2 linked regions of the Ovis aries genome follow. The protein of the gene in region 1 purifies or fractionates together with the protein of each later gene. This does not show direct contact. Links are inferred from orthologs where the notes say so. Each region holds a gene or a part of one and is shown on either strand. Other genes may lie near its edges.

Region 1 (3,747 bases):
GGCCTGGGGGAGCCTGCTGAGGGTGGCTGAGAGATGGCAGGGATGGCTCAGATGGCAGGCCAGCCTGCGAGAGTACCCTGAGGTCTGCAGCTGCCAAAGAACATTGCGTGAAATGGACCATGTGGAACCTGGAAGGGAGGGGGACGAGGGTGGGTAGGGTTGGGAGGGAGGGGGACGAGGGTGGGTAGGGCTGGGAGGGAGGGGGACGAGGGTGGGTAGGGCTGGAAGGGAGGGGGACGAGGGTGGGTAGGGTGGGGAGGGAGGGGACGAGGGTGGGTAGGGTGGGGAGGGAGGGGACGAGGGTGGGTAGGGTTGGAAGGGAGGGGACGACGGTGGGTAGGGCTGGAAGGGAGGGGGACGAGGGTGGGTAGGGCTGGGAGGGAGGGGGACGAGGGTGGGTAGGGCTGGGAGGGAGGGGACGAGGGTGGGTAGGGTTGGAAGGGAGGGGGACGAGGGTGGGCAGGGTGGGGAGGGAGGGGGACGAGGGTGGGCAGGGTGGGGAGGGAGGGGGACGAGGGTGGGCAGGGTGGGGAGGGAGGGGGACGAGGGTGGGTAGGGTTGGGAGGGAGGGGGACGAGGGTGGGTAGGGCTGGGAGGGAGGGGGACGAGGGTGGGTAGGGCTGGGAGGGAGGGGGACGAGGGTGGGTAGGGCTGGGAGGGAGGGGGACGAGGGTGGGTAGGGCTGGGAGGGAGGGGGACGAGGGTGGGTAGGGTTGGGAGGGAGGGGGACGAGGGTGGGTAGGGTGGGGAGACGTGTCAGGAGGAGGCCACAGAAACCCGCGAAGGGGTGACAATGGACGGAGAGCAGTGGAGAGACTGGGCTGGGGGTGGGCGCTGGGCGGGCCGGGGAGAGGGCTGAGGGCTAAGAGCCAGGCCTCTGCCTGGGCAGCTGGGTGGGGCTGGGGGGAGACTGGGGGAGGGGAACGAGATGAGAGGACACTCCTGGCCTGGCACTGCCACGAGGTCAGTGTCCCCAAGAAACAGAGGCTGGAGGAGGTGGGGGACCACCAAGGCCACACAGCCAGCCCCGGGGAAGGGGAGCAGGGGGGACCCAAGTCTCTCCGCTTTTGCCGGGGGTCTTGCCTCTGTAACTCTCACAGCTCCCTTTTTCTCTTCGCCCACATCCTGCCCCTCACCTGCCTCCCTCCCTTCATGTCCGCATACCAGCACAGTGAGGTGGGAAGAGGGGCATGGAGGGGGTGCAGAGAGCCCTGCTGCTCTGGCCCAGAGAGGGCCTTGCGACACCCACGCCCCGCCTCAGGGCCCAGCCAGCAGGGCTGTGGCTGCTGTTGTTGCACCCCTCGAGTCAGGGCCTGGTAACCAGACCCTCCGGGGGCTCCCAGGCACGAGGGTCTGCCGACACTGAACACAGTCCCTGGACCAGACTGCTCACACCACTGGCTCATGGAATCCTGACCACGACCTTGAGAAAGACCTTGTTGATCCCACCTTCAAGTGAGGGGGCTAAAGCCCGGAAGGGTAGCCAGCTCTGCTCACACAGCTGGGGAGCTGTGGGTGGTGAGTGGCCATGGGGGAATCTGCCCAGCAGCCACCCTCTCTTCATTACACTGATGGCCGAGTGGCCAGGATGACCAACCACCCAGCACACCAACTGTCCTGGTTTTCGCACTGGAAGTCCCATGTCCTTGGACATACCCTTGGTCCTAGGCACATGGGGACAGCTGGTCACCCTCTGCACTCTCCAGAGAGTGGCGGCCACCAGCTTTGCTCACCCTGAGACACGAACCCAGGGTCCCAGGCAGATGGCCAATCAGGCACTTGGCTCATGGTATGCAAATGTCACTGCCCCTCCGGCTGGCTCTGGCCACCCATTTTTGCCTGACTCATTGGAGAGATGGGGCAGAATTGTCTGCCTGGGGCCATTCCACACTCTTGCGCAAATTGGGGAAAGGTGCAGCCTGAGCTGAAATGGCAACCCACTCCAGTACTCTTGCCTGGAAAATCCCATGGATGGAGGAGCCTGATAGGCTGCAGTCCATGGGGTCGCTAGGAGTCAGACATGACTGAGTGACTTCACTTTCACTTTTCACTTTCATGCATTGGAGAAGGAAATGGTAACCCACTCCAGTGTTCTTGCCTGGAGAATCCCAGGGACAGGGGAGCCTGGTGGGCTGCCGTCTGTGGGGTCGCACAGAGTTGGACACGACTGAAGCTGCTTATCAGCAGCAGCAGCAGCAACAGCCTGAGCTGAAAAGCACTGATCGGAGAGAGCGCCTCGGCTGAACTGCTTGCCCCTTTGGGTGGTCTCCTTGTGCACCAGTGAACAACCTGCCCAAATGGACAGAGAGACACAGGAGCAGCAGTGATGGTCCCTAGTTTCAGGAGGAGCATCAGATCCCTAACTGAGCACAGGCAGGGAGACTTGGCCACTGTAAGATTATACTGTATAAAGAGAGGGACACCCACCTGAGAGCAAGAGGTTACCAGCTTACCTGCCTGGGGCACCTGCAGATGGCTGTCCTAAGGCCTCCCACTTGCAAAGGAACGTCCAGCCCAAAAAAACCCTCCCAGTACAGAGTGTGTCAGGTTGGTCCCAGGAAGTGCTTCAGAAAGCTCAGTCTAGTTTCGATTTCGAGAAACCACCTGACCCTGTTTCCTTCTGGGGTTGGCTGCTGCCAAGGCTTCCTGCTCCCCTCCCCGCCCTTGGCTCTGACTGGGGGCGGCTGGGATGGCGGTGGGGAGGATGGCAGCCGCCCAAGGCTGCAGTCTGGCTGATTCTGCTCTGGTTACAGAGCAAGGCAGCGGCGCCAGGGGTGGGTGCTGGGGGAAGGGAGAGGAAGGGCAGCAGGCGTCAGCGGTCAGAAGAGCAGAGGATGGGCGTGGACAGGTTCTGTCTGCATCCAGGGACCCTGGGCTCTTTCACTGCACGCCCATGCCCGTCTCCTGGGTCTCACATGTTGCTGGGGGCAGCGGTAGGGGGGCTGCTCGCTCGGCTCTAAGCACTTGACATGCCTGGCCTGAACATCTCATCCCTCTGGGGCAGGGGCAGAGCCTCTGGGGTGGACTTTGTTCTGCCCCTCCCACACCCACTCCCTTTCCTTCCCTCTGACAGAGAGCCTGCACCTCGATTTCCCCTGGGGAAGCACTCTGGATCTGGCCTGAGTCTGGCAGGTTGGAGACAATGGTGTCAGGGAGGTGTTGTGATCCCAGCCCTCTGAGGGGTCAGTTTTAGACTGCTGGAAGGAGACCCTGTAGGGAGCAGGCGGCCTGGAGGCGCTGATGCCCCTGGTGCCCCCGACTGTGCCCTGAGGAAAGCCCAGCTGAGGATGCAGGTGAGGGCAGAGCTGAGAGAGGGAGGAACCTAGGTCCTGATGCTATGGTTTGAGCACCTGTGTCCCCCTGGCCTGAACTCAAGGCCAAGCCCTGGCTTCAAGGCCAGATGAGGCGTCAACATCCTATTTTGCTTCTGTCTTTTGCATCCCAGGTTCTGGACGAGAGTTATCCCCTAGGAATGTCCCCAGGTCTCTCTAACCTGCTGGCTGTCACCATGGTCGGCTCCTGAGAATCACCCAGGAGTCTCACAAACTCCCAGCGTCCAGATCCACAATCTCTGGGGTGGGGACAGGCGTTGGCCTTAAAGCCTTGCAGGTGGTTCTATGTACAGCCAGGGCTGAGAACCATCAGTAGGGAGACAGAGTTTCCCTGGCAGCTCTTGAGTCCAAGAGAGTGAGCCCTCGGGTCAACCATCCAATGACTATTTGCCCAAAACGTGAGGTTTGAGGGGAC
Region 2 (3,647 bases), on another chromosome or scaffold:
AAAAACAAAAGCTCGGTACTGTTTATAAGCATTGTACCTTTTAAAACATTACGACAGAGGAAGATTAAAAGTAAAAGGTTAAAAGTAGAAAAAGATATACTGGATAAATACCAATCAGAATTGGGTTGCTACAGCTAGTTCAACATCAGATAAAACAGACTTCAGGATATAATTATCAATAGGGATAAGGAGGCTCTCTACAAAATGATAAAAAGAGTAATTCTGTATCTTCAGTGTATGCATGTAGTTAATAAAATAACCTCAAAGATATCAAATGAAAATCAATAGGGCTGCAAGGGAAAATTGAAAACAATCCACAATTACAATGTGACGTTATCACACATTCGTAAGAGCTGTCTGTTCCTGTGTAACAGATACCCCAAAACCTACTGAATGGAAACAGTTGCTTACTGGCTCCCAACTTTGTGGGCTAGCAGTTTGGGTGGTGCTCAGCTGAGGGGAAAGGCTCATTTCTGCTAGTAGATTAGTGAGTACACAGGAATTGATCCTCATATGTGGCATTTATTTGGTTTGGTGATTTTATTTATAGGTGACCTTATCATTTTTTCCTTTAAAAATGTAAGCATAACTAATCTTACTGGATGTTTGAGGTATGGTTTGGTTTTGTTGTTTACATTTCTACTACATCAGTATCGTTAAAGTACACATTTTCTTTTGTGGGAAAAATTCCTTCCAGCTCCCAAACTGATGAACTTGCCTGCCATTTCTGTCTTAGGAGAAAGATACGAGGGTATGTGAGCATCCGCTCTCAGATATAGTGATTGCAGGGGAAGCTGCTCATCCTTTACCACACACGTTTCACCGCCTACTTCAGACCATCTCCGATCTTATGATGTCTCTCCCCAGTGGCAGTTCATTACAGCAGATGGCCCTGAGGTAATCTTATTTCCAAGTGTCCTAAGTACCCTGGAAAAGTTTTCTGAAGCAGTCAGAGCATGAAATGCTTGAAAGATCTCTTTAAATACTTAAGGTAGAAAGAATCCTGTGTTATATGAATGACCTCCCTCATTATAGTTATAATTTAGAATTGCCCTTCACCTCAGCTCATGCCTGTTGGCCCCTCTGTAAATTGTGGATGGTATACTTCTGAGTCCTCTAAATTGTCACAGTCTGAAACCATCTTCCTCACTTTCCTTTCTCTGCTACCCCAAATCACATGTCTCAGTGCTCCTCAAGAGTAGAAACTTAAATGTTGCAAAAATGGAGAGGGCAATGAAATCTCAAAAACTGAATTCAAAATAGGGTTTTGAATTGAAAAGAATATCAAGAGAAATGCAGCCAATCCTGAAACTACATTGAAGAGTATCTCCTCCTTTTAAGTCCTCACCATTACTTTTACATTGTGAACTTTATCACTAGAACCTCATACTGGACTACACATACAAGTAAATCCTCCACTGATTTTTATAAGAAATAGGTTGACAGAGTGATTTTGTCTACCCACATTCCTAATGATGAGACCAGCAGAGAAGAGATTCTGTAGTGCAAGATTTTAGAAGTACAAAGTGTGTTATACTCTGATGAATTAGTGTAGAATTGTTGGACTAATAAATTTTAAGAGGCTGTTATAGTTGGGATAACACTTGTCTACAAAACTGATTACCTTTTTTGCTTTTATAGCTTTGATCTTCATGTGTCAGTTTGGCTGTATTTAAAATGGATGAACTTTCCTTAGAATTTACATTGTTCAACAGAAATGACGTATATTTCTCCAAAAGACAATAGAAATCATTTTGTTTCTTGAATTTTAAAAATTTCTAATATTGTTATTTTACCTACAGCATTAAGATTAGCTGCAGAGTGCTTTTTTTTTTTTTTTTTTTTTTTAAGGAATTCCTTAGAGGTTCCTGAAAAAGAATTATTTACTATATTACTTACACCTTTTTAGGTGCTGGAGTCTGAAATTCAAGCAGTCTGATCACCAGTTCCTCCATCAGAGCAATGTCTTTCATCACATTAACAATATTTTGTCAAAATCAGATGATGGAGACAGTGAAGAGAGTTTTAGCATCAGCATACAGTCTGGCTTTGAAGCTATGAGTCAGGTCAGTCATCTAACAGTTATCCTGTGTTATCCTGTTAATACTCAACAATGTACTGAAGGAGAAACTGAAAATTACTCCTAAACAACTTGATACTTACTTTTATTTCTATCTCATGTCTGTTTTACTGTTGTGGAAGATTTCCATCTGAGTGTTTCAATTATGTCTATTTGTTTCTGGTAGGAATTGTGCATAGTAATGTGCTTAAAGGACTTAACCAGCATTGTTGACATAAAAACTTCAAGCCGACCTGCCATGATTGGCAGTTTGACGGATGGTTCCACAGAAACCTTTTGGGAGTCAGGCGATGAGGATAAAAACAAAACAAAGAACATCACCATCAACTGTGTAAAAGGCATCAATGCCCGCTATGTATCTATTCATGTGGACAATTCCCGAGATCTTGGGGTAAGAAAGGAAACTTACCTGTGGCTTGTTAGTTCTTGTCAGACCTTTATTAATGATACAGTCTCATTTCTGAGTTTTAGCAAAAAGGCTTTCATCTGGAACTTCACCAACCAAACAACCTATTTATATTTTCAAAATAACTCAAGTCTAAAAACAGATTAATATGACTTGGGGCACTGTGGAATACCCATTTTAAGAAAGGCTCTGATTATAAATATATGAAATCTATAGCTAGGCAAAATAAATATCTACTCCATGATATTTTACCTCCATGCCCTTGTTCAAGTTATTTCCTTGGCCTGGAAGTCCTTCTCTTAAACTCTACCTTTCAGATTCTTCCCAAGTATAAGACCCAGCAGACAAATTCTCCCACAGTACCTCTTCTATAAAAGTTACTCTTTCTCTCCTCTGGATTCTTTTTTACCTTACTCTAGTGGCATTTAATGCAGTTTGACCTATAGCATAATTCGCCTTCAGTTTTTAATCCTTACCCGCACCATCAGAAGGGAGTTGGGGAAAATTCCTGTATTAACATATATAATCAGACTATATATTCCCCCTAGCTCTAGCCTGTCTACATGTTTCAACTGAATTGAGCACTCTTTAACAAAAAGCACTGGAGAAGAAAAAGCATCCTATTTACTTGAGTATTAAAAGCCAATAAGACTGTAAAACCAACTGCTAAATTCCCATGTTTCTATCCCATTCTTGAGAAAGAATACTTTCTAGAATTTTTTCCCTCAGAAAGGAAGTGGCCTGTAGGTACAGTGTTAATAAGTCCCCTTGGGCCATTGCCAAGCTGCTCCTGTCCCATTTGTATATTTCCTTTCCCTGGGAGAGCCAGAGTGGTGGGTTTGGGTCTCAGATGACCTGAATGGAGAATGCCGACCACAGAAGTTTAGTCTGCAGTCAGAGCATTCCCTGCTGTCTACAGTCACCCCACCTTCTGTCCGTCAGCACAGATTGAGTAAGAGAAAGGCTTAGCTACTCTATCACTACATCACTAGCTTATCACCTCTTCAGACCCAAGAGTTCAGTCGGTACAACTTTGTCTTACTTGAAAGTCAGGTATAATAAATCAGAACATTTTTCTGACAGGAACTCACTGCTCAGTACAGTGTTATCTTTGATTCATGTTTTAAGGTAGAATATACTTTCCATCAAAACAGTGGTTGC

What was found. The genes of interacting proteins can lie anywhere in the genome.
Region 2: the proteins of LGALS3BP (region 1) and MYCBP2 purify together in Homo sapiens (co-immunoprecipitation; 3 studies listed by BioGRID and IntAct, counting the BioPlex papers as one, with this or other methods). This does not show direct contact. The link is inferred for Ovis aries from reciprocal best matches to the Homo sapiens genes LGALS3BP and MYCBP2.

Annotation. Positions count from the first base shown.
Region 1 is NC_056064.1:52,754,873-52,758,619, reverse strand, and holds the start of LGALS3BP (galectin-3-binding protein), read right to left. Parts: upstream 2,589-3,747; 5' UTR 2,428-2,588; intron 1-2,427.
Region 2 is NC_056063.1:52,791,151-52,794,797, reverse strand, and holds part of MYCBP2 (E3 ubiquitin-protein ligase MYCBP2), read left to right. Parts: intron 1-736; coding exon 737-897; intron 898-1,909; coding exon 1,910-2,066; intron 2,067-2,246; coding exon 2,247-2,471; intron 2,472-3,647. UniProt on the Homo sapiens protein: Atypical E3 ubiquitin-protein ligase which specifically mediates ubiquitination of threonine and serine residues on target proteins, instead of ubiquitinating lysine residues.